2 linked regions of the Canis lupus familiaris genome follow. The protein of the gene in region 1 binds, or shares a complex with, the protein of each later gene. Links are inferred from orthologs where the notes say so. Each region holds a gene or a part of one and is shown on either strand. Other genes may lie near its edges. The genes, in order: GLI1 and SUFU.

Region 1 (12,587 bases):
GAAGCCATGCCATTTTTGCCTTGAGGAGATCCTCATCTAAGGGGAACATCTAAGGAAGTCTTCTGTGCTTCTTCCTCCCCCTTCCACGGCCGCCCCACAAGCCACCCCTCCCCTAGATCTAAGCTCTCTCCCTTCGGCTACAGCCTTAGTTCCCAGGGCCAAGAGTAAGGCGAGGTAAAGTACAGCAGTCACTTTGGGGGCAAAATTGTAAGGGACTGCCAAGAAATTCATCGATTGAGATCAATAATCAATGCAATATTTTTAAGACAGCAAGATGAATGCCGAAAAATCCATGATGAACAAAATTACAAATTTTAAAATAAATACTGAATCGGTATTACTCCCTCTCTTTTTGGCTCCACCTTCTGTTAAAAGGGGAAAGAGTGGATCTGTCTTCTTCCAAACCTTTGCTCCCAGAGCCTCTTGGCCCCTAACCCTAGACTGTCAGGCTTTTCTCATTTGGGCAAGATAATCACTAGGGCTTCTTCTCCTTTCTTACCCGCCCCCAAGCCTGTCCCTCCCCCCCAGCACCCAACCAGGTTGGTGGTAGGGCGGGCCTGTGAGGCAGATGGCTGGGGTATTTATAACCTGGGAGCACTTCTTGGGGAAAGTGACTAAGATGCTAAGAGCATATTTATAGCTGGGTTCTGACGTAAGTGTCAGTGGGGAGGTAGGGCCAGGCCAGGCACAGCAGCAAGAGGGTAGGAAGAGCTGAAAACTGGGGGCACCTGATAGAGGGTAGGGGAGAAGTGGGGTCAGCGACTCTTGCAGCCACTTTGTGCTGCTTCCCTGGACTCTTGTGTCTGGCGCCAACAGGTAAGCCCTCTGAGACTCCACCATGGGCAGAAACTTCTTTGCAGTTCGATGTCCCAGACTCCAGGGGTAGAGGGCGGTCATTCACCAGCCTCCACCAACAGAGAGGTGGCGGAGAGCTGGGGGAGAGAACTGGGCAGAGGGGCTTGAATGTTTCCCCCCCACCGGGGGAGAAATGTAGGGAGAACAGGAGGGTCTAAAACCTCCTTGTCCCCCCCCCCCCGCCCCCACCGCCACCACACCGTTTCTGGGAAGGGCCTGACACCCATCACCAAGCTCCACTGCCACGTGTCAAAGTGACGAGGTCTGAAACCAAAGGTAGCAGCGGCGTGGGGCCTGACGACGGCTCTGCGCCCCGGTGCTGGCGGAGGGGGCGCACGGGGACTGGCGTCTGCTCCGCTGGGAGAGGCTGGGCCTGGGGACCGAGGGGCTGGCGGGCTGCGTCTCGGCTCCCGGCAGCTCGGCGGCGGCGCCCAGCGGCCCGACACCGCCACGTGGCGGACACCAGCGGTACTGAGGCCCCGCCCCGGGGCGCGCCCTTCCCGTCCCGCTCCCAGGTGCCCCATCTGCTGGGCTCTCGACAGCCCCCACTGGGCTAAGCGGGGTGGTGGGGGGGAATAAAATGCAGGTGGGGCACAGTTCCAAATCACACGCCCTTCCTTCTAGCTTCTTGAAGAAACCCGGGGCATCCGGAGAGAGGCTAGCATGAAGTCTACCGTCGGAAGTGCAAGGAGGAGGGACCATGGCCCTCCCGTTAGCCAGTGAGGAGTGTGAAGAGGGCCAGATCGGAACTAAGGTCGCCCGCACTCGCGCTTGCTCTTCAAAGTTCTTAAACCTCCCATTTCCTGCCCCCTCTCACAGAGGCCTCGAACCACTTCTAGGATGCCCCGATTTAGGTAACTCTCACAGTCCTCTTACCTTAAAGAGACCCAGCCCAAATCCCATGCCCTACTGCCAGCCTTGATGGACTCTGCCCTGCTGTCAGATTGCATCACCACCACCCCTACCTCTTTGGGTTTCCCCAGACATGCATGTAACATGCACCCCACCCCCCCACCATGCTCCAGCCCTCCTCCACGTTGTGCTCCAGTCCAACTGGACTCTGGGCAGCCAGCACAGGCAGGGTCAGGAGGTGACTTCCGTGCCCCCTGGCACTGCCACCTTGGCCTGGGCAGGAGGACTCCATTCCTCTCCCCCCTGTCCTAGCCCTATTGCTAGGAATAGAGAGACCAGAGTTCTGCTTCTGGCCCAGAGACCCTGGGGAGATAACCAGTGGAACTCACAGCTGCCTCAGAAGCTGCTGCAGCAGAAGTGGCTGCGTAAGCTAGAAGGACTAGAGGTATGGGGGGAGATCGCCCTCCCCACCTTGCTCCTATGCGTCCCTCCCCCGAGCCCCAGACCTTGGGGACTGAGCATGTGAAATCATTCTCTTTCTTGCATCATGTGTGTCCACACTGTCCCCCCACCCCCATACCCCTACCTCAAACTCAGTGACCAGGGCCAGATGGTGAAACCCGAGGTGGGGGGGGCCTCCACCCCCTGCAGGGACCTGATGGGCAGCACAGGTGGCCAATCCAGGGGCTCAGAGGGTAGGTCTGCTAGCTGACCACTAAGTGAGGGTGCCCCAGCTTACGGCTCTAAAGAGGCCCCACTCAGGAGCCAGCCGTGAGCTGTGAGGGCCAAACTGGCAGATGCGCTATATGCAGCCACCCATAAGACCATCCACATGCAGCCTTCCTGAGTCCCAGGCACTAGAAGACAGGTGGCTCTACCCTTGGCCAAGGGTAGGTGTGGCACTGCTGTCTGCTGCTGCTGTGCCCTCATTGGCTTCCACGCAATCATATCAACAGAAGGAGCAACTGCCATCCGAGGCTCCTGACCCAACCCAGGGCCACTCTCCAGGAGCATGGGGCTCCCTGATGTCCAGCCCCAGCTGGTGCTGCTCTGGGCACTGGTGTGGGCACAGGGGGCAGGGTCTGGATGTCCCAGCTGCGGAGGCCCCACGCTGGCACCCCAAGCAGAACGAGCTCTGGTCCTGGAGCTAGCCAAGCAGCAGATCCTGGAGGGGCTGCACCTGACCAGTCGTCCCAGGATAACTCACCCTCCCCCCCAGGCAGCGCTGGCCAGAGCCCTCCGCAGACTACAGCCCCGAAGCATGCCTATAGCAGATGGAGACGAGGTCATCAGCTTTGCAACGGTGGCAGGTGGGTAAGGGAGAGGCGGGTGAGGGAGGCCTCCCCGACAGGAAAGGCAGGCGAGCAGGGTGTGGGAGGAGGAGAAGTTGGGGCAGGGACCGGCTGAGCAGGGCGGGGGACACCAGGCGGTCCCCGATTCTTGCAGACGAGCGAGTGGCGGGCTGGGCCTGCAGGGCCTGGAGCAGCGCCACGCCGCTCACGTGCTTGCCCCTTGCCGTCTCCCGGGCAGACTCCACCTCGGCCTGCAGCTCTGTGCTCACCTTCGACCTGTCCACGGCTCAGCCCCACCAGCTGTCCCGGGCTCGCCTCTGGCTGCACGCGCGGCCCGCGCCGCCCGGCTCGCTGTACCTGAGGGTCTTCGGGCGGCGCCCGGGCGGTGGGCAGCGGGGGGCGCGCACCCTCCTGGCCGAGCAGCACCTGCCGGCTGCGGGCTGGCACGCCCTCGCTCTGCCCTCTGGTGGCCTGAGGGCTGAGGAGTCCGCCGTCCTGCAACTCCAGCTGAAGTGCAGGCTCCTGCCAGGCAACCGCACCTCTGCCCAGCAGCTGGGGCGGCGGCTCCTGGACACGGCCGGGGACCGGCGGCCCTTCCTGCAGCTCCAGATCTGGCCCAGGGAGCCCGGAGCGGGCCGGGCCAGGAGGAGGACCCCCACCTGCGAGCCCGAGACCCCCTTGTGCTGCAGGCGAGACCACTATGTCGACTTCCAGGAGCTGGGATGGCGGGACTGGATCCTGCAGCCCGAGGGGTACCAGCTAAACTACTGCAGTGGACAGTGCCCCCCGCACCTGGCTGGCAGCCCCGGCATCGCCGCCTCCTTCCATTCGGCCGTCTTCAGCCTCCTCAAGGCCAACAACCCTTGGCCCTTGGGCACGTCCTGCTGTGTTCCTACGGCCCGGAGGCCTCTCTCTCTCCTCTACCTGGACCGTGATGGCAATGTGGTCAAGACAGATGTGCCAGACATGGTGGTGGAGGCCTGTGGCTGCAGCTAGCACGAGGACCTGGGCATTTGGAGTGAAAAGATCAGTTGGGGGTTCCCAGGCAAAGGGCATCTGTGGCGGGCCACATTGCATTCCTGACCCACACCCCTACCCAACGGCAGGGTGGCAGTGTGACCTGGGTGACCCAAATGGGCACTTGTTCATCCAGAATCTTGCCTGTTCCAGGCTGGCTGGTGTGTGGGGAGATGGGAAAAGTGTGTTCTCTGAAAGAGTCTGCCCAGGAAGCATGATTTCCTTCCCTAAGCCCTAAGGGAAGGTAGCAGAGGTGAGGGAGGGATGGAGGGAGGGCAGAAGGCAGAGAAAATTTACCTAGTCTCTCCCAAGAAGAGAAAGTCCTCGAGTAAGGGAAGCAGGCCTCGGACAGGGGAACCAGGCTGGCCAAGGGCAGAAGCAGCGGAAGAGCTTTAAGGGAGGGCCAAGAAGGAGATGGGCAGGGGGCTAAGAGGAGGTGTCTGGGAGGGCCCCAGAAATGGGAGCCAGGAGAGAGGAGTGCTGGGCCTAAGAAGTTTCCTGGTTTTCCCCAGTGGGGGACAGGACCCACCGAGGAGACAAATGTTTATACTTACCCAATAAAAATGAGGGGAAAAATCAATCAACAAATTTGAGTCATAAAGAGGGGCTGCGGTGATGACCCAGGGGGGTGGTTTTCAAGGTAAGGTCTGGGGACCCCTGGGAGGTCCCTGAGACCCTTTTCAGGAGTGTTCGCAAGTCAAAACTATTTTCATAATAATATTAAGATGCCTTTTTTATTTTCATTATCTCAAAAGTACACAGTGGAGTTTTCCAGAGGCTACGTGGCATGTGATTACATCATCTTTCTGACATCATTGTTAATGGGATGTGTGCTTGTGTATTCTTGTGTCACAAACTTTTTTCGGTTTTAATTTCTAATATAGTAAATTGATATGAAACACATAAACAAAAAATCAATAAATTTTAAGAGTGTAAAGGCAGGGTGCCTGGGTGGCTCAGTGGGTAGAGCAGATGACTCTTAACCTTAGGGTTGCGAGTCCAAGCCCCATGTTGGGCAGGGAGGCTACTTAAAAAAAAAAAAAAAAAAAGGAGTGTAAAGGGGTCTTAAAGTCAAAATTTTGGAGAATCACTAATCTGGAGACCTAGGTGAGGAGGAAAAAGTAGCGTGTTCTAAAAGAGCTTCTCTGTGGGCGCCTGGATGGCTCAGCGCTTGAGCATCTGCCTTCAGGTCAGGTCGTGATCCAAGGGGTCCCGGATCGAGTCCTGCATTGGGCTCCCCACATGGAGCCTGCTTCTCCCTCCACCTATGTGTGTGTGTGTGTGTCTCTCGTGAATAAATAAATAAAATCTTTTTTAAAAAAATAAATAAGATCTTTTTTAAAAATTTAAAAAAAAGAGCTTCTCTGAAAGAAAGGGCAGACGGCTGAGGCAGGAGAATGTGTAGGGCTCCTTCTCCCGTTGACCGCTGGTCTTGCCTGACCTCTGGGTATAACTGGTGTCTAGGCCAAAGTCATATGGGGGAGGGACAGTGAAACAGGACTCTGTATCTGTTCCCCCACAATTACAACCTATATTTGCAGGGCCTCAGACCTCTTCCCACTTTCACCTTTTCCCCTTGACCCTCAGTCTTAATAGCTGACCTACTAACTCTCCAGGCCCAAGAAGGTGCTTCTTGGAAGCAGAGCTAAGATGTGGGAGGTCTATCTGAGGGGTGACAGGAAAGGAAAGGACTCCTTTTCCTCACCACGTTTTTTCCCCTTTCTCATAAAGAAAGGTCACAGAGACTAAAATAGCTGCCCCTTCCCCTGCATCCAGTCACTATGGCAACACAGATCCGAAGGGACAGGGCACTCCCCTCTCAGACGCTGCCGTTCCGCACTGGCAGCCTCTTCTAGGGTGCCCTTCTGTTTCTTTGGGCTGGTACACCCCTCCCTGGGCTCCTAACTGGGGTTTGGTGGGGGGACCTAGGAAGCCTCCTACTCCTGCAGCTCCCCCAGTCTTCTCCGCCTGCAGCCTGCGGGAGTGTGCCATGTGCCAGAGAGGCCAGCAGAGGGAGCAGACAGCCTGGAAGAGCAGAGAGCCGGCGGCCTCGAGGTGCGGAGGTGCCCGCAGTCTCCAGAACTTAGAGACGCAGGACACCGGGCGGGGGGGTGGGGGGTGGGGGGTGTCTCCGCGTTACAGCGCTTGAGTGCCTCCCCAGGGTTCCTTAGTGTGAACCGCACACTCTGCACCCGGAGCCTCAGCCGCTGCCCTCTCTTCGATGCCCTATAGACCCTTCACTTCTAAGCCAACTCTGTTCCAGTCCTGTTTGCACCAAACCCCAAATCTGTCCTAACCCCTTCATGTTCCCCTGAAAGAGGGAGGTCAACAGATAACCTGCAGGATGACGCAATACTCGCAGCACCAACCAAAGTCGGCGGCGCTACCCTCCAATATTATCTTTCTTGGATGAACTTTTTCATCGCCCCCCACCTCCCAATGTATTTGTTAGTTTTTTTCTGACTGTGGTTGGGGTGGGGGTGCCGCTCCGTGGGCAGCCGATCCCAGGATCCATGCCGGGATTTATTGCCCACCAGCAGCAGCGTGTTCAGCGGGGGGGGGGGGGGGGGGGGGAGGCAGTATAGGGTCCCTCCAGGGAGGGGGAGGATCCTGGGGGTCCTGGGGGTGCAATAAGCCCGGCACCCCCTCTCTAGCTTTTGCTACCCCGCCTCATTCTCCAGAGCGGCAAGAGGGAGGGAAGTGGAAGGGAGGTGAGAGGCGAGCGGGAAGAGCGGCGGCGCGCCAGCTGCCTGAGCGAGAAAAAGTTTCTGCAAAAGGGAAAAAAAAGTTTGCGCTTCTCGCGGGTGGTCCCGGCTCGCGGCCCGGCGGGCTGGGCCGGCGGGAGGGCTGGCGGCCAGGTTAGGAGGGGGTGGGGGTGGCATGAGGCTGCGCTGCCGTGGCCCTGTGCGCCCCCCCTCCCCACCGCACACCCCCCAGCCCACACTCCAGCCCTGGACCGCGCATCCCGAGCCCGGCGCCCAGAAGGAGGTGAGAAGGGGGGCGGGCGGGGGACCACCTGGGAACCGTAGGGGAGGGGGCGAGGGGATGCCCTGCTCGCGACGGGCTCTGGCCAGCCCAGAGGGAGACCCGGGGCACCCAGGCACAAAGGGGGTGGGAGAGCCCGGGCCGAGATCTAGAAAGTTTGAAGGACTTTTTTCATTTGTATCTCCCTTTCTCTGTATCTTTTTTCTTCTCCTCCTCCTTCTCCTCCTTCTCCTTCTCCTTCTCCTTCCTCTGACAGCCTCTGTGTCTCTGTCCCAGGCACCCGGGGATCTCTTTGTCTGTCTCCGCCTCTCCTATGTATTAGGGACAGGTTACTTCCAGGAGGTTGGCATGAAGAGGCAGGAGGGACGGCTAGCTGGAGGTCTGCGTGGTAGGGACGGAAGTCCAGGTGTGTCGGGGCCGCAGGAGACGTCAGGGTTTCTGAAAGGAGGGAACAGCCACGGAGAGAGCCCTGGGTGGGGTGGAGACGGGTGTGTGCAAGGGGACAAACCAGTGGGGGATGGCTCGGCTTGAACCCCTGACCTGTCTTATGACAGATGCGTTTGCTGGTGCATGTGTTCTCGGGAACGGAGCGTCTTCTGGATTAGGAAGGGGGCTGGAGGGGCCGGCGTCTTGTTTAGGCCCTAGAAGGCTCCTCAAGGAATTAGGACTCCTGAGTCCCCAGAGCCGTGGTCAGGGTGCCGAGGCGGAGCTGAGGAGACCCTGGCTTGACCCTCTGACCTCAGGACCACCGGGACAGCTGGGCCAGCCGCAGGGAGACCCCTACTGGGACTGGGCGGGACCACTGGCCACTGCCTGCCTAAGTATCCCGGTTGGACCCCCCTCCCCAACGGGAGCTGGGGGCCGAGGCCCCTCCTCTGCCTCAGACCACCCTGCCTGCCCTTGCTCCCCGCTCTGAAGCCTCTTTCAGGCCCGGTGACCCCGAAACAATCCGCCCTGGGCCGCTGGCTTTGGGGACAGGATTAGGAAAGGGGATCCCATAGTGACTAGGGACTTAAGGTTTTGGGGGCTGGAGAACTGGGGGTCTTCATAGGATAGATCTTCACTGTCCAGTGGGAGGGGAAGGCGGGGCGATTTCCCCGGGGAGTTGTAAGGGCCGGAATTAGGGTGGTTTTCCCTATGGGGGCGGGGTCCAGAGACACCCCCCCAGTTATCTCCCCGGCATCCCTAGCCAGGCAGTACAGACCCCGCCCTTGACGTCACTAAGGGGTTCCCGGGGGTCTGGAGGGGTTAACCCTTGGGAAGCCGGCTGCGAAAATCAAAACCCAAGGTGTCCTGACCCCTCCCTCCTCCCATACACACCTTGTTTTATTTACCCAGGCACCTTCTTTCCCTATAGTTTCTGGATTCTTCTTTCCTTTCCACCCAGCCACGGGGACCCCCCCCCCCCTCCAACAGTGCCCGCCGCCCCCCCGGGCGCCGCTGCCAGCTTTCTGGCCGCACAGAGGGGAGGAGGGAAGAATGCGTCCCGCCCCCCGCCCCCCCGCCCCCTCCGCCGCGGCTCGCTCCACTGGGCTCCCGGGCGGGCGGGGGAAGCGGAGCCGTCTGCAGCCAGAGCCTGCGGCGGCGACTTGGGTGGGCCGAGGAGGCACGGGGGCGGGGAAGGCGGGACCCGGAGGAGGGGGCGGGGCCTACTCCTGGGAGTTGGGGAGCGGGGGTGCGAGGGGGCCTCCGGAAAGTAGGGAGACGCCGAGGGTGATTCAGGGCTCCATCAGGGCGACCCTCAGCCCCCTGCCCCGGCCTGCGCTCTCATCCACACCCCAGCAAAAGACGTAACTGAAGCTGGAAACGTTGGCGAAATTTTCCTGTCGCCAGGGCGAAGGGGAGACGTGGGTGGGCTGTGGCACGCGTGGGCGAGCGGGGATGTCGCCCCGTTTAGTCGCGGCCCCTCGGCGGCGGGCAGTGGCGCGGGAAGATGCCCGAGTAGGCACGTTTGGGGGAGTCTCCTTAGTATTGGGGGGTCGTCTGCGGGCCCCGCCTCCTTCCCCCGGTGAGTCATAGAGGAAGGAGGCGGGAGAAGTGTCCCCCTATCCAGCTGCCAGCCAGCTGTGCCCCCCCCCCCCCTCCCACACACACAAAGTGCCAAGGTCGAGTTGGGAGGTCTTGGATGCGGGGCCCGGCCCTGCGCTGGGAAAGGAGGAGTTAGGAAGGGTACGGTCCCGGCTGCGGGGCTCGGGCTGCGTCGTGGGGTCCGGGTTCCGCTCCCCATCTCACCCCTCCCTTACCCTAAATCCCAGCATCCCGGGATCACCCACCGCGCCGGCCGGGCCCGCTCCCGAGCGCTCTCCACCCTACCCCGCCCCACCCCACCCTCGGCCCCGGGAGGCGGGAAAACCCGGGCTGGAGCCGAAGCCGGAGTTTGAGGAGGGAAGCGCCGGCCCAACCCTCTCCTCCCGCAGCTCTTCTCCCCTGGATGGTGCCTGTGCCTTCCCTTCTCCCAGGGCCTTTCTCTTTCTGGCCCTTTCCTGCTCCCCCCCAAACAGAGCAAGTTAGGGGGGCGCCCGAATTCATTCTGCCCCAGGACAACACCAGTTTCCATTCTTTGTACCCAACAGACCCCGGAGGCTCCCCTCAGAAACCTTAGCCCCTTCTCTACAGTTTTCTGCCTTAAAGAGAGAAGGGCCGCTCCTCCGTGCTCCCTCCCGGCCCACCGGCCTCCCGGCGCGGCCCGAGGCGAGAGCTCCCTCTGCTGGGTGCCGCCGAGATTGGAGACGGGCGCTCCGGGGCAGGAACGGAGGACGGCAAAGGGGTTCCCCAGGGGTTCCCCATCCCACCCCTCAAGGCCGGCCCCGGGTCAGAGCCAGAAGATGTGGAGGGAGGGCCCAGGCATAAAATCACCTGAGGCTCATACAGGCTCATTAGGTTCATAACCCTCCCCCTTGCGCGCGCGCGCGCGCGCGCACACACACACACACACACACACACACGCGCGCGCGCGCGCACGCGCGCACGCGCGCGCGCGCACACGTGCACTTAGACCACTCAGGCAAAGATGGCACTCCGTTCCCACAAGGATCCCCAGGACTGCCTCTGCTTCTTTGGGGCTCTTTTCCTCCCCCTGCCCCTGGCTGAGGGATGCTCATTTCACATTGATTCTCCATGGCAGGTGTCTTAGAGGGACCCTGCCCAGGGTTCTAGATCTTAGTTATCTGACCTTCCTTATCTCCCTCCTGCCTCTGTAACTTGCAGATCTCCCTTCCCTTCCTACAGTGTCCCCACACTCTCCTCTGAGACACCATGTTCAACTCGATGACCCCACCGCCAGTCAGTAGCTATGGAGAGCCCTGCTGTCTCCGGCCCCTCCCCAGTCAGGCCCCCAGCATGGGGACAGAAGGTCAGTGCAAATACCAACCTCCAGGTCCTGAGGACTGGCAGCGGCTCTCTCAACCAGCCCCAGGCATCCCTCTTCCATCTCCCACCCCACACAGGCTTCTAATCCACAAGAAGACTCAAGCCTCCATGTCATACAGGCTTGGGATAGAGGATGGAGTCTCTTCTGGGGTGTGAAGGTGAGGCCTTGTGTGTCCCCCATTCCCATTCCCCATGCTGGCTGTCTCTCTTTTCTAGGACTGCCTGGTCTGCCCTTCTGCCACCAGGCCAACCTCATGTCCGGCCCCCACAGTTATGGGCCAGCCAGAGAGACCACCAGCTGCACTGAGGGTGAGGCTTCAACATCTCCTCCCTTTCTGCCCCTCTGGTGCTTGCTTTTATTTTTTAATTTTTTATTATTTTTAAAGATTTTATTTACTTATTCATGAGAGACAGAGAGAGAGAAAGAGAGAGGCAGAGACACAGGCAGAGGGAGAAGCAGGCTCCTTGCAGGGACCGGGATCCAGTCCCCAGGACCAGGCCTAAGGCAGGGGCTCAACCGCTGAGCCACCCAGGCATCCCTTGGCACTTGCTTTTAAAGAGAAAGTGGGTGGGACAAGGGGTGGGGGATCTAACTTGGAGGAGGAAATGCTTGGAGATTGGAGCAAGGGGTCTGGGCATGATGCGGAGGTCACAGATGGGGTCAGTAGGGCAAAACAGAGTCACGTGTCATGTTTTTTGTTGAGAGTCAAGACCCATGGGTTGAGTGCGTGAAGACATGCCCCATTTACCACAGCTGTCTCCCCTGTTTCCTGCTCCAGCCCCACTCTTTCCTCCTCCCCGAAGTGCAGTCAAGTTGACCAAGAAGCGGGCACTCTCCATCTCACCTCTGTCAGACGCCAGCCTGGACCTGCAGACAGTTATCCGCACCTCACCCAGCTCCCTTGTGGCCTTCATCAACTCACGCTGTGCATCTCCCGGGGGCTCCTACGGTCACCTCTCCATCGGCACCATGAGGTGCAGAGAGCCTTGGGCTAAGAGGCCCCTAAAGACCCTACCAAACCCCGTTAAAAGCCTCAAGCCCTCCAAAGCACCTGGCCCTATTTGAATCCTTATCGTTTCAAAGGTGTTGAAGCCCTCCTCAGTGCTTCCCCGAGACTGCCTCAGCCACTTCCCATACGTCTTTCAGACACACTCCAAAATAGCCCAAGAACTCCTGAAACTTTCTGAGATGATGGTCCTAAGTAACTGCCTCTCCTCCTCCTCCTCCTCCTCCTCCTCAGCCCATCTCTGGGATTCCCACCCCAGATGAATCACCAAAAAGGGACCTCGCCTTCCTTCGGGGTCCAGCCCTGTGGTCCCCATGACCCTTCTCAGGGTGGGATGATGCCGCATCCTCAGTCCCGGGGACCCCTCCCGACTTGCCAGGTGAGAGTCCTCATACTGCTCCCCAATTTCCCTCAGCTCAGGGTGGGTGGGCGGCGGGCCTTATGGGAAGGGGTGAAGGAAGGACAGGGCAGATAAAAGTTTTCAGTAGCACAAAAATAAAGGGGTATGGTTGCTGGGGTTCACTCCTTGGGGCTGAATCAGACTCTCCAGATGAGATCCCACCTTTTGCCCATCCCGGTGCTGTCTGAGGAGGAAGTCTCTTCCAAACCCAAGGGTTCCAGCTGCTTGGGTGGGGGCACTCAGGGCAGGAAGACCTGGCTGGGCTCCCTCTTCCTTCTGCTCACTTCTACCTTCATCACCCTCACCTCTTCCCCTGGGGAAGCTAAAGTCTGAGCTGGACCTGCTGGTTAGCAAGTGCCCAGAGGAGCCCTTGGAGGGTGATATGTCCAGCCCCAACTCCACAGGCACACAGGTAAGTGAGGGGAGGGTGACTTTAACTCTGAAACCTGAGCTAAACCGAAGCTGTCACCCAAGTGACCTAGGATTGCCTCTTCTGCCCTAGGATCCCCTGCTGGGGATGCTGGATGGGCGGGAGGACCTGGAGAGAGAGGGGAAGCCTGAGCCCGAATCTGCCTATGAGACGGTCTGCCGCTGGGCCGGCTGTAGCCAGGAATTTGACTCCCAGGAGCAGCTGGTGCACGTGAGCCCCAGGGGGTAACAGGAATGCTGGCTGGATCTTGTAGGACATTCTGGTGGGACACTGTGGGGTTAGGCTGAGGGCCGGAGTTCCAAGGGTACTGAGGCCAGAGGTTGAGTGGTCAGTCAGGTAGGCAGAAACTCAGGAGCTGCAGCTTTGTTTTAGAAACCTGG
Region 2 (12,091 bases), on another chromosome or scaffold:
CAGAGCCCAGATCAGCCACGGGTGGCAGAGGTGAGGTGCGGGCTCTATCCTGTGCAGCTACCAGCCTGCGAGCCAACACCACACAAAAGCTGTCTTTGGAACCAGCTGACGTGTATGGAAGATGACTTGCCCAGTGGAATCCCATCAGGAAAGTCGGCCTGAGATCACAAACACGCTCTGCGACTAGCCAGCCTTTTGCGCCCTGTAGTTCAGATCCAGCTAGGGCTGTCGGCAGTACAAAGGGCGGCCAGAAATCCTCATAGAGAGTAGTGCTGAAGCCACATCTTCTACAACCCTGCAAATCTCCACATTCCAGTCCACAGCTGCTGGCCACAAGGGGAATAGCCAGAGCTGGAGGCTTCCAACAGGCTCTTGGCGACTGAAGATCAGCTGTCTCACACCTCCCAAGTCCAGGGGAAGAGCAACAGGACAATCTCTGCCACTGAAGTCAGTTGAGGGTAGCCTTAGGGTTCCTAGAAAAGCACTCCATTCTCTCCTGTGGCTGCCCAGACTAGAACTTGTTCCATCTCTCCAACTTCAGAAAGAGCCTCTTAAGAGCCTTTTAATCCAAACAAGTACTCTCTTGTCCTATTTCCTTTGGTGAATTTGAATACGGAAAGAACCTAGATGGAACTGGCCATTCCAGGACTCAGGCAACCAGGTTGCTCTTCACGTCTTTTAGGAGTACCAGGGTAGGCGTCCTCTCCTACTCCCAAAGCAAGCCTGCTAGGGGCAAGAGACCCTTGGCCCTAGAGACAAGGGACCCCTGGACTTCTGCTTAACCTATCCTTGGCTATCTGTGAGAAGGAGAAATCTTAAAGGGAGGAAGCATACTGGAGGCACTGAATAAATGGTGACTGATCAAAATGTAAAGACCGTAAGTAGAGCACAATGGTTTAGAATACTGGCTGTGGGATCACTAGACCTGGCTTCTCATTTATTACCTATGCAGTAAGTTAAACTTAAATTTCTGCATCTATAAGTGAGACATAATAAGAATTCCTTGTGTCATAGAATTACCATGGGGATAACATAAGATACCTTTATGAAAAGAGTTTATATAGTTTATATATAACCTGGAATACAGTAAAACCTGGGGGGAAAAAGTTTGCTTATATTATTATGCTAAAGACAAAAAAATGTCCATACATTCCTTTCTCCCCAATCATGGAAAGAGCATAGGAGCACATGGGTGGCTCAGGCAGTTAAGCAGCTGCCTTTGGCTCAGGGCATGATCCTGGGGTCCTGGGATTAAGCTTCGCCTTGACTCCCTGCTCAGCGAGGAGCCTGCTTCTCCTTCTGCCTGCCATTCTCCTGCTTGTGCTCACGTTCTCTCTCTCTGTCAAATAAATAAATAAAATATTTAAAAAAGAGAGAGAGGGAGAGCATAGAATAGAGCATAGAATAGTAGAGACTCTAGGAGATCCTGCCACTCTCATTAGCTTGCTGTATGGCCTTCAGGGGGTTACTGTACTTTCCTCCACGTACAATTAAGGGACATGAACTAGATCAATGTTTCCCATTTTTTAACAATAATAGTACTGAATCATACTTTTTATTTTTATTTATTTTATTTGAGAGACAGTGAGAGAGAACATGATAGGGTGGGCAGAGGGAGAAGCAGGTTCCCTACTGAACAGGGAGCCTGATGTGGGGCACAATCCCAGGACCCTGGGATCATGACCTTAGTTAAAGACAGATGCTTAAATGACTGAGCCACCCAGGTGCCCTGAAAGAAAGAATTGTAAGCACACTCCATGCCCAGTGGGAGCCTGAAGCAGGGCTCCAATACACAACCTTGAGATCATAACCTGAGCCAAAATCAAGAGTTGGACACTTAGCCAACTAAGCCACCCAGGTGCCCCTGAATGATACTTAAAAAAAAGTTCCCTTTTCAATTCACTTTCAATTTTTCTAATCATGCCTAGTGTCAGGTTCTATTTGGTGTTAGCGTATCTTTTTAACACCTCTAACATACTTGCTAATCTCTTGAACAAAGAGAAATCTGGCCTCAGATTTAGAATCTTCTGTGACAGGCCACAGTATTAAGCTACAATTTAATAACATTGCTTTGTTATCACTGCATTCATTTCCATAGTTACCTTTAAATTATGGCAAACAATACTGGTTTCCATTTGTGATAATGACTTAACTTTTAAAAATATATATCAGTTTCAAAAAGGGGAGTTAATTAATTAATTTTTTAGTGAGCTCTACACCCAATGTGGGGCTTTAACTCATGGGGCTTTAACTCATGACCCCAAGATCAAAAGTCCCATGTTCCTCCAACTGAGTAACCCAGGTACCACAAAAGGAGGGTTAGTTTTAAAAGAACATAAACTAGGGGATCCCTGGGTGGCTCAGCAGTTTGGCGCCTGCCTTTGGCCCAGGGTGTGATCCTGGAGTCCCGGGATCAAGTCCCATGTCGGGCTCCTGGCATGGAGCCTGCTTCTCCCTCTGCCTGTGTCTCTGCCTCTCTCTCTCTCTCTGTGTCTATCATGAATAAATAAATAAATCTTCAAAAAGAAAAAAAAGAACATAAACTAGATGACCTACTACATGGCAAAAATTATGAAGATGGCACTAGAAGTTTGGGAAACATTGGGCCAGAAGATTGTCAAAGTCCCCTCAACCCTGGAAGTGAGTGCTGGTGCCCTAGGGTATCAGGCTGTGATCTCCCCTGGCCCGCTTCCTTCTTACTGGCCTTCAGCTTGCAGACACCTATCAAACTTCAGCTCCTCCCTGGAGCTTCTTCAGATCCAACAGCCTGACTAAAAGTCATATCCCTCATCCTGCTCCCAAGTCATGTTCATCCACGGATTGCAGCATTTATTTCCCAGTACTATAACCTTCTCTTTATGTTTATCTCCCATCTAGAACATGAACTCCTTGAGGTAGGAATTATGTCTTGGCATTTTATCCCCAAGACATATATTAAGATGTTCTGCATCTGGGACAAAATGGGTACTTGAGGAACATATGCTGAATAAATGAGCTTGGTCCCCCCCCCCCGCTTTTTTTTTACTGAATGCAATAAGACAGTGGAAGAACACTACCAGAAATTCATCTGCCATAATTTCAGTTCAACACTTCTTTAAAAGTGTTCTATCATCCATTTAAACTGGATGGTAGAACACTCACCTTTCTGATCTCAGCTTCAAGCACTAAATTAAATAAGAATCTTTAAATCTGTTTCAAAGAGGCCTTGCCACATGAAATGTTCATAAAAGCAAACTTTTCTTCAAGAAACTTACCAGGATTGAGAAGAGATCAGTCACACCAGCACAAGACTACTTACAAATGTACTTATGACTTCTGCAACACAGACCAGAACTGGATAAATATCCAAGAACACTCCTTCCATGTCCTTCTAGGGGTAGGACATAATACCAGAAAACACTAGATTCCAGCAGTAAAGTACGGTCCAAACTGAGGTCTAATGTCATAAATGACATATGAACATCACAGTGCTTTATCATACAGAAAGGGGGTACTTTCAAATGTGAAAAAACATTAAGGAAGGCCCTCTTTAAAATTCAAAGGTTGCAGAGTCCCTGGGTGGCTCAGTTGGTTAAGTGTCTACCTTCAGCTCAGGTCATGATCTGCGGTCCTGGGATGGACCATACATTGCACTCCCCGCTCGAGGTGGTCTGTTTATCCCTCTCCTCTCTGCCTCTCCCCCGCACTTGTGCCTGCTCTCTCTCTCTCAAATAAATAGAATCTTTAAGAAAAAATTCAGAGGTTGCTCCCTCTGAAATATGAGGCTTTCTCAATTATATTCTTCATGTCACTTTGGGATTGGACCCATCCCTCATATGCAAGTATAGTGTAAGAATCTTTAAGCCACATAGGAAATGATATTTTTTGACTGGAATAAATCTGTCAACAAAAAGGTACAGGCTAACTACACTAAATATCCTCTGCAGGTTCTTTTTTTTTTTTCCTTATTAAAAATATACATTAAAGTCCAGCATAGTGCCTTTATTGCCCACATCTGTTTGCTATTCTATCTCCATTATTAACACTGTAATGCAGGGTCCCTACTCAGGCAAGATTAATTCACTGTTGCCAAAGCCTTCTGACATTGCAATGGATTAGTTTGGAAGGCTATCTAGGCAGGTCCAAGCATTGCTCTCAACATGTGATTAGTAAGGAGATGAGGCCTGGGCCCCCAGCTTGATGAGAGAGAAGAGGAAGTTGGGTTGGACCTGTGATCAGAGAGGTAGAAGACTCTAGTGGTTAAAAGCCCAGACTTTGGACTCAAGACAGTTCAAGTGAATCCTAGTTCTTTTATTTTAGGCAATTCATTTGCCCCTCAAGTGACTCAGTTTTCTCCTCTATAAAACGAAGATAACAAAAGAACCTGGTAAGATTGTAAAGTATTTGATGCGATGATAAAGTTGATGCTAAGAACTAAAACAAAGGGGAAAAAAACCCTGATGATTATCATCTTCTTTATCATGATACCATCATCACCCCCAGAATCATCCCCTTATGCTGCTGAGGCAGGGCAGGAAGAGCCCTGCTAGTCTTTCAACCTACACATGCTAAGTAGTCATCACCAAGATACCCAAAAGATAATATAGAAGGGAAAAAAGACAAGACAGAAAGCAAAAAGCAGGAGAGGATATGGTACAGAAATAGAATCAGTTCTTGATTAACCATGCTAATGAGGGGGGAGGAAGACAATATTTAAGTTGAAGAAAAAGAACTCTTCTCACAAAAGACTGTAGAAGAAAAAAAAATCTTTTTTTTTTTTTTTTTTAAATTCTAGATAGTAACTTGCTCGAGGACATGATATAATTGTCTAAAAGCACAGTCGTTAAAAGTCTGAGCTCTGGAGCCAGAATGCCTTATTAGAATCCTGGCTCCAGGGACCCCTGGGTGGCTCAGTGGTTGATCATCTGCCTTTGGCTCACAATGTAATCCCAGGATACTGGGATTGAGTCCCACATCAAGTTTCCCGCAGGGGGGCAGCCCCAGGGGCACAGCGGTTTAACCCCACCTGCAGTCTAGGGTGTGATCCCGGAGATCCGGGATCGAGTCCCACGTCAGGCTCCCTGCATGGAGCCTGCTTCTCCCTCTGCCTGTGTCTCTGCCTCTCTCGCTCTCTCTCTGTGTCTCTCATGAATAAATAAATAAAATCTTTAAAAAAAAAAAAAAAGATGTTTCCCGCAGGGAGCCTGCTTCTTCCTCTGCCTACGTCTCTGCCTCACTCTGTGTGTCTCTCATGAATAAATTAATAAAACCTTTTAAAAAAAAATCCTGGGGATCCCTGGGTGGCGCAGCGGTTTAGCGCCTGCCTTTGGCCCAGGGCGTGATCCTGGAGACCCGGATCGAGTCCCATGTCGGGCTCCTGGTGCATGGAGCCTGCTTCTCCCTCTGCCTGTGTCTCTGCCTCTCTCTTTCTCTCTGTGTGACTATCATAAATAAATAAAAGAAAAAAAAAAAGAAAAAAAAAATCCTGGTTCCACCCATCCAAGCTGTGTGACCTTAAGCAAGTTATAGACTCTTTGTATTTCAGTTTCCTCACCTGTAAAATGGGGCAGATAGGAGTCTACCAGTATTATATGGTTGTGGTGAAAATAAAATCAGTTTATACATGCAAAGTGACTAGAATAATACCTGGCTCATAATCAATGCTTAATAAATATTAGCTTTCATTATTAGTATTGCTGTTATTGTTTCAGCTGACTTAATACTAAGTTGATGTTTAACTTAGTATTAAAATTTGTTTAAATTCAGTGGCTATAGGTGTACATAGGAGGGCAGGTAGAATTTAGAAGTATACAGGGAAGGGGCACCTGGGTGGTTCAGTCAGATAAGCATCTGCCTTAGGCTCAGGTCATGACCTCAGGGTCCTGGGACCAAGCCCCACATCCACTCCCTGCTCAGTGGGGAGTCTGCTTCTCCCATTCCCTCTGCTCCTCACTGACTTGTGCTCTCTCTCACACACATGTAAATAAAAAAATCTTAAAACAAACAAACAACTTGGGTTCCCTGCATGGAGCCTGCTTCTCTCTTTGCCTATGTCTCTGCCTCTCTCTCTCTCTGTCTCTCATGAATAAATAAAATATTAAAAAAATAGAAGTATACAGGGAGAAAATGGGAGACAAACTAGAATAAAAAATGTGCTATGGATAATCTGAGCACAGACAACTGCAGGTGATGAGGAAGTAGGTACAATCAATAGAGGGAGAGAGATGGATATATTCATGATAAAGCAAGTAAAGTAAAATGTTAATTGCAGAATCTAGGTAGTGGATATTTGCTTGTTGGCTATAAAATTCTTCCAGCTCTGCCTTATGTTTAAAATTTTTTATTATAAGCTAGAGGGGGAAAAAAACAAGTAGACTTAGAGACAACAAATCAAATTCTGCATCAGAGCTACACTGCCTGTCCTCTGAGCTCAAACACCAGAGCAAGCTTAGAAAAACCTAATGGTTTTGGAACACTTGCTCATCATCAACACTGTCCTGTACCAGATGAGCAGAGGTCAGGTGCTGACTTGGATCACTCTGGCACAAGTAGATATAAGCAGAAGGTAGAAACCCAAAGGTTCCATCTCAGAAGTGCCAACCTCAGAGAACTATGACATTATCACCCCTGCTCAGGGAAACCCCAGAAATAAGACTCAAGGCTAAAGAACAGACAGGTGGAGGATGGGCAAGTGTCATACACTTACTCATGGACTCTGCTGTCACCATAGAGATCACTCAGGCCAAAGCTGATGTAGTGCCAGTGTTCAGGGATATTGGCAGAAGGGCTCCCCACATTCCTGTACATGCTAACATAGTCCAAGGGGTCTGGGCCACCCAACCTGCAAAAGACAAAACACAGTCAGTGAGAGCCTGAAAGTACACAACATGAAGCTAAGACATTATGCCTTACAAATCTAAAGACCCCATCCTGGAAGAACCTGGAATGAAAGATAACTAAAAGGAGGCCACATCTCTGGGATAAGACCAAGGGACAGGTAGCTAGAAGCTGCCCAATTCCATAAGCACAAGACGCTCCCTTCTATCCCCAACATGCAGGACCTCTTTTAAAAAATAAAACAGACTAGGTGGTTGTCCCTTTTGCTTCCTCCTAATTCAAATTACCAATCCCAAATGGGATTGGCAGGGATTATCTCTCTTCCATGGTGCCTGTAAATATAACAAACTTCAAGGGAAGAGGTGCATCAGTCAATCAATCAGCTTCTGTTGAAAGATCATCCTGAGCATCCCCAATGGGCATTGTTCCTGGAAGCAGAGGCTCGGCTCCACTCCTGCCTCTTAGACAGCTAATTCCTGAAAGACTATATTGTGCCCTATGTTAATTACAGTTTGTTCTAAACAAACTCAATGGCTCCAGACCCCAGCCTGTACCCCACAGACCAAAGCTGGTCTTTTCTCATGCAAGTGACAAAGGCCACACTTAGGCTAGCTCAGCCCTGCACAGAGAATTGCAGCAGGCCAGACTGACCCGTGAGAGTGCCTGCATTCAGAAGATGATCCCAGGAGACTGTCGCCTCAAAGGTAGGGCTAGAATATTAAATGATTTGGGGCCTCTGAGGACCACATTAAACTTCCCCCATAATTCTAACAGACAAGAAGCTGAGGAAGAGACTCAGTCATTAGCTCACTCTGAGGATTTAATTCCATAAGGGTTTCCTTTAGTAGAGCAATTAATGCTCTCTCTTAAAAAAAAAAAAAAAAAAGGTCCTGCTTTTCTTCAGAATGGATAGGGAAACTTAATAGACTTGAGAAACAGCCTAAATGGAAACCATCAGCGGAAGGAAGTCTGCATTTAGCCCACAAACACTCTGCATGTGAGCTGCCTCGGACATCTGACTATTCCACAGACTGCAAAAACTTTGCCTGCCCCTAGGACGTTGATGGAGTACACTTTGCAATTGGCATCGTATGCTGCAGGAACACTAATAACCAAATAAAAGACATGCTACATGTGAAAATAAAAGACATGCTACATGTGATCCCAGCAAGAGTTCCAGTACCATGCAATTCAAATACTATTTAAAACCAGTAAGTCTGGTTTCATCCTCTTTTGCCAGGATATTATTTGCCCTTATAGAAATCCTTATTCTCTGCTAGGAAATGCTAAGTTATTTATAGATCTTGTAAGAAAGTTGCTACAAATAGCTCAGAAACTCAACTGAGTGGATTAGGAAAAGAGACAAATCCCCATGTCCTTCCTTAACTCTGATTTGACCAAATCATTTGAATGTTTCCACAACTAGTTGAATACAGAAAAGTTTGCTGGGGGAAGGAGGAAACATAGGGGTAGCTATCTCTGGAAGAACCACATGATAGCTGCAGAAGCCCAGAACAGATGGGAGTGACTACAAACTCCAGATCTGCTCCAGTTTCCTGCTGCAAATTCCCAGTCTTGCCCCTTTCAGCCTAAGTGCATCCAGCAACAAGTGGCAAAACTGTATCCACACTTCCATACTCCATCTGTCACACCTCTGCAGCCCTCTCTCAGGAGATACTGCATCAAGGATCGAGGCTTTATCTTAAAACTATAACTGTAAGGAATAACCAAGAGTCAGACAAAATTAACCTTGTCCCCAAGCACAGTGTTCTGTTCTACTTACTCAGACACCTGATGGGAAACAGATGATTATGTAGAAAATAATCATATCTTGCACTTAGAAAAATATGTTATCCAAGGACCCAGAGTATCCCTTGATGCTCTTCCTTGAACTTACTTCCTTGAACACCTAACTTCATTCCACATGACAGCTGTAGGACTGCAGTGGCTCCTGGGTACAAGCTCTGCCTCTGTGTTTCTGTTCCCTGCCCACTAAAGTATCAGCTTTCAGCCAGGATGTCCCTGCCGGCCAAGGTCCACTAGCCAAAGAACCAACCTTCTGTCACAAGAAAAGGAATCTCAAGGGACCGTGGGCCACAGCCAGACCCAGGTAGCCTTGGTCAGTCAAACTGCTAACGAGGCCTTGTGGCATCCCAAGTGTGATGTATATTAATGAATTAATTTCAGAATCTTAATTATGCAAACCCTTCCAAATCTTAGAAAGAACTAGTTGCTCAGCTGCTCCTTCTTATATTTTTCTGCATCTGGCCAGCATTTCTAATCTCACAAAGTACTCTTTATTAGTCATTACATGTTGGCCCATTTCTGAAGATAAGTCCTGCCTGGTTAACAAGCTTGCCCAAATCAGTCTTAGTCCTTTGCATGTGCTTTAATATCTTCTGCACACAATTCTATCCTTCATGGCCAACTGGGTGACATAAAAACAGTTGCCTAAGTCTGTGTAGGGATTTCTCTGTTCATTCAAATGAGACCTGAACCAACAGCATCGCAGAACCAGGCCCTCTTTCCCCATGACACAATCCAATACAGTTCATCACAACACATACTTAAATATAGGCAAGAAATGAGAATGGGTGATTAAGTTATCAAGAGCTGCTTTTCACTCAGAAGCTCTCTTCAAAAACTCCTCTCAACCAAAGAACAGTTTGCCTGCTGAAGAGAGAACTGTACCACTGGCCACATCTCCTCTGGCTACCAGACATGACCCTCTCATAGGAGGTGGCTGGTCCCCAGGCCCTGTCTCTTCATATTGTCCCACTGACACAGGCAACTGGCCTCAGCCCCAGACAGTCTAGTTTCTGCCATCTCCAGAGGAAGTTAAGAGGTTATCCTGGAGAAGCTTCCATCCTAAAAGAAGAGGTAACCAGCAAAGACATCCACTCTCTCAACCTCCCCCTTTGGGTCTACCTGCCCCCTTGGCACATCCCAAGCTTTTTTCTGAACAGTCTTTCAGGACTCAGTGAAGGGGATTATTTAATACAGTGCCTGCATGAATGCAGTTCTGGACAAATTCTACCAATTCCTCAGTCAATATGGTCCAGAAAGACCATGAAGACAGGCTCTTTGTCAGAGTCCCTCTAACACCTGTTTTGCCCAGTGGCTGTGAAAAGAGATAGGTTGCAAACAGGAATGGGAAACAAGAAAGGACCATTCCTACCCCAAGGGCAGGCCTTCTATGATCCTGAACAGAGCCACTTGAGGGTTACTCTCAGCTTCCCTGAGAGACTGTGGTCTAAATCCTGAAGCTTGGGGCCAGGAAGCCCCTCTAAACATCTGGCTGCACTTCTTTGCTCCGTGTCTCAGGTCTTCATCATTTACTGGGGTCCCCGGCAATCCTGAGCCAAACCATGGATCTATCTCCCTGACCGTGCCTCTGTTCTAGCCAATGTCCTAGGCAAAGCGGGTGCAGAGCCAAAGGAAGCTCTGCTTGGAGAAAGAGAACTGTGCCGAGTAAGCAGAAAGTTTATCAAGAAAAGTTGCTCCGTGAAACTTCAAACGCAAAAGCACTGCACCGATATGACTGACGTCTGAGCTCATGGGGAAGGTATCTTAAAAGGAGACCTCCTCTTCCTCTCTTCACAAGCACGACTCTCGCAACTTGCCTCCCTCCTAACCTATGGGAGAGCGGGGATCCCCAAATCCACCGTACCCTGTGCAGTCTCAAGCCCTCTGAGCTCGCCAGCCGCACTCCTCCAAAGCCCTCTCTTGTGCTCCCCAGGCCCCGCCTCGCCTCCCCCATCCCACTTCAGCCGCCCTTCTTCCCCCACCCCCGCCCCCGGCTTCCCTTAGCCCACTAATGACCCCCTACAGGCGCCCCCTCCTTTCACCACGTTTACAGTTCCCTTTCTCCTATCGGCCCCCCCCCCCGCTCCTACACACACACCCCCAATTCATTCTATTCTCCTAATCCCAGTTAACCCTTCATCCTCCCCCCTCGTTAACCCTCCTCTACCCAGAGGCTCCGTTAACCCCTTTGTCCCCGTTCCCAACTTCAGCCTTAACTCCTTGCCTCGCAGCAGGACGCCCTCTTTCCAAGTGCTTTAACCATTCTTCTCCACCTCCTCCTCCCCCGCAGATGACTTCGCCCCGGGCGTTCTAACCCTTCCCTGCCCGCCGTCGTCCGTCTCCCCGCGGCCCAGGGCATACCAGTACTTGACGATAGCGGTAACCTGGAGCGGGTTCGGCTGGTCAGGGTAAAGGCGACGGCACTCTCCGTAGATGGCGTGCAGTCCCGGGGGGAAGAGCGAGGCGAAGGCCGGGGGTGCACTAGGGCCAGGGGCCGGGGGCGCGGCGGGGCCGGGGGCGCCGCTAGGCCGCAGCTCCGCCATCCGGGCGCGTAGGGCGCTGGGGGGACCGGGGAGGGTGGACGAGGGGGAGAGCTCTGACGCGCCAGCAGGCGGACTCCGTGGGTGCGACTCCCCCAGGCGATGGGGGCTGCAGCGAGGTCTAGGCTCCGCGCCTGCGCACGGCGCACCGTCTGCCCAGGCCGTAGCCGCCGCAGAGACGGCCGGAGGGTGCCTCGGGGGCCGCGGAGCGCTCGGGGGGGCGGGGCGCCGGCGCGCCCTATCCCGGTATCCATTGGCTAGTGTCTGTGCCAGTCACAGATGGGGAAGGCGTGACTTGGCAATAGGTCCCGCCTCCCTCTCCGTGTGTGGGGGGGGTCCCAAGGCTCTTGGCCTCCCCCTAGTGTTAGGAGGAACCCAGATTTAAATAGAAATGTTGAGGCATCCTCAGGTGCTAGGGTCCCAGGAAAGCTGTGGGAAGCTCGCTGACGAACGACTTGTCGCTATTGTGCTGACACCCTGCTAACAAGAATTTAAGCACAAATTTGACAATAGTGGATTGATTCATTCGTCCATTTAGCGTGGCTTTAGTTGTAATAGATTATAAATCTGAATATTTCCTACCATCTTTGAATGTCCATTTACCATATTTACTGACACTAACCCCGCCAAATTCAGGGGTTGTATGTTGAAATATTTACTTTGGAGTCTTGTTAAAAAGTAGCAAGAGGGATCCCTGGGTGGCGCAGTGGTTTAGCGCCTGCCTTTGGCCCAGGGCGCGATCCTGGAGACCCGGGATCGAATCCCACGTCAGGCTCCCGGTGCATGGAGTCTGCTTCTCCCTCTGCCTGTGTCTCTGCCTCTCTCTCTCTCTCTCTCTCTCTCTATGACTATCATAAATAAATAAAAATTTAAAAAAATTAAAAAAAAAGTAGCAAGAAAAAAAAAAAGTAGCAGGAGTTAGGGACGCC

Evidence for each region.
Region 2: the proteins of GLI1 (region 1) and SUFU are in contact, whole or in part, in a crystal structure (PDB 4KMD), measured with the Homo sapiens proteins. The link is inferred for Canis lupus familiaris from reciprocal best matches to the Homo sapiens genes GLI1 and SUFU. Residues at the interface, in NP_005260.1 of Homo sapiens: Gly119, Ser120, Tyr121, Gly122, His123, Leu124, Ser125, Ile126, Gly127; in NP_057253.2 of Homo sapiens: Leu144, Tyr147, Asn153, Thr154, Phe155, Gly158, Asp159, His160, Val161, Ser162, Trp163, His164, Gln212, Asn265, Leu266, Ser267, Gly268, Val269, Ser270, Ala271, Glu376, Leu380, Lys398.

Annotation. Positions count from the first base shown.
Region 1 is NC_049231.1:1,912,376-1,924,962, forward strand, and holds the start of GLI1 (zinc finger protein GLI1), read left to right. Parts: upstream 1-6,658; 5' UTR 6,659-7,004; intron 7,005-10,229; 5' UTR 10,230-10,256; coding exon 10,257-10,353; intron 10,354-10,586; coding exon 10,587-10,679; intron 10,680-11,149; coding exon 11,150-11,345; intron 11,346-11,611; coding exon 11,612-11,756; intron 11,757-12,099; coding exon 12,100-12,189; intron 12,190-12,279; coding exon 12,280-12,417; intron 12,418-12,587. Other genes in the region: INHBE (inhibin beta E chain), read left to right, coding at 2,720-3,017, 3,238-3,995. UniProt on the Homo sapiens protein: Acts as a transcriptional activator. Binds to the DNA consensus sequence 5'-GACCACCCA-3'. Regulates the transcription of specific genes during normal development.
Region 2 is NC_049249.1:15,182,961-15,195,051, reverse strand, and holds the start of SUFU (suppressor of fused homolog), read right to left. Parts: upstream 11,347-12,091; 5' UTR 11,166-11,346; coding exon 10,984-11,165; intron 6,821-10,983; coding exon 6,686-6,820; intron 1-6,685. UniProt on the Homo sapiens protein: Negative regulator in the hedgehog/smoothened signaling pathway. Down-regulates GLI1-mediated transactivation of target genes. Down-regulates GLI2-mediated transactivation of target genes. Part of a corepressor complex that acts on DNA-bound GLI1.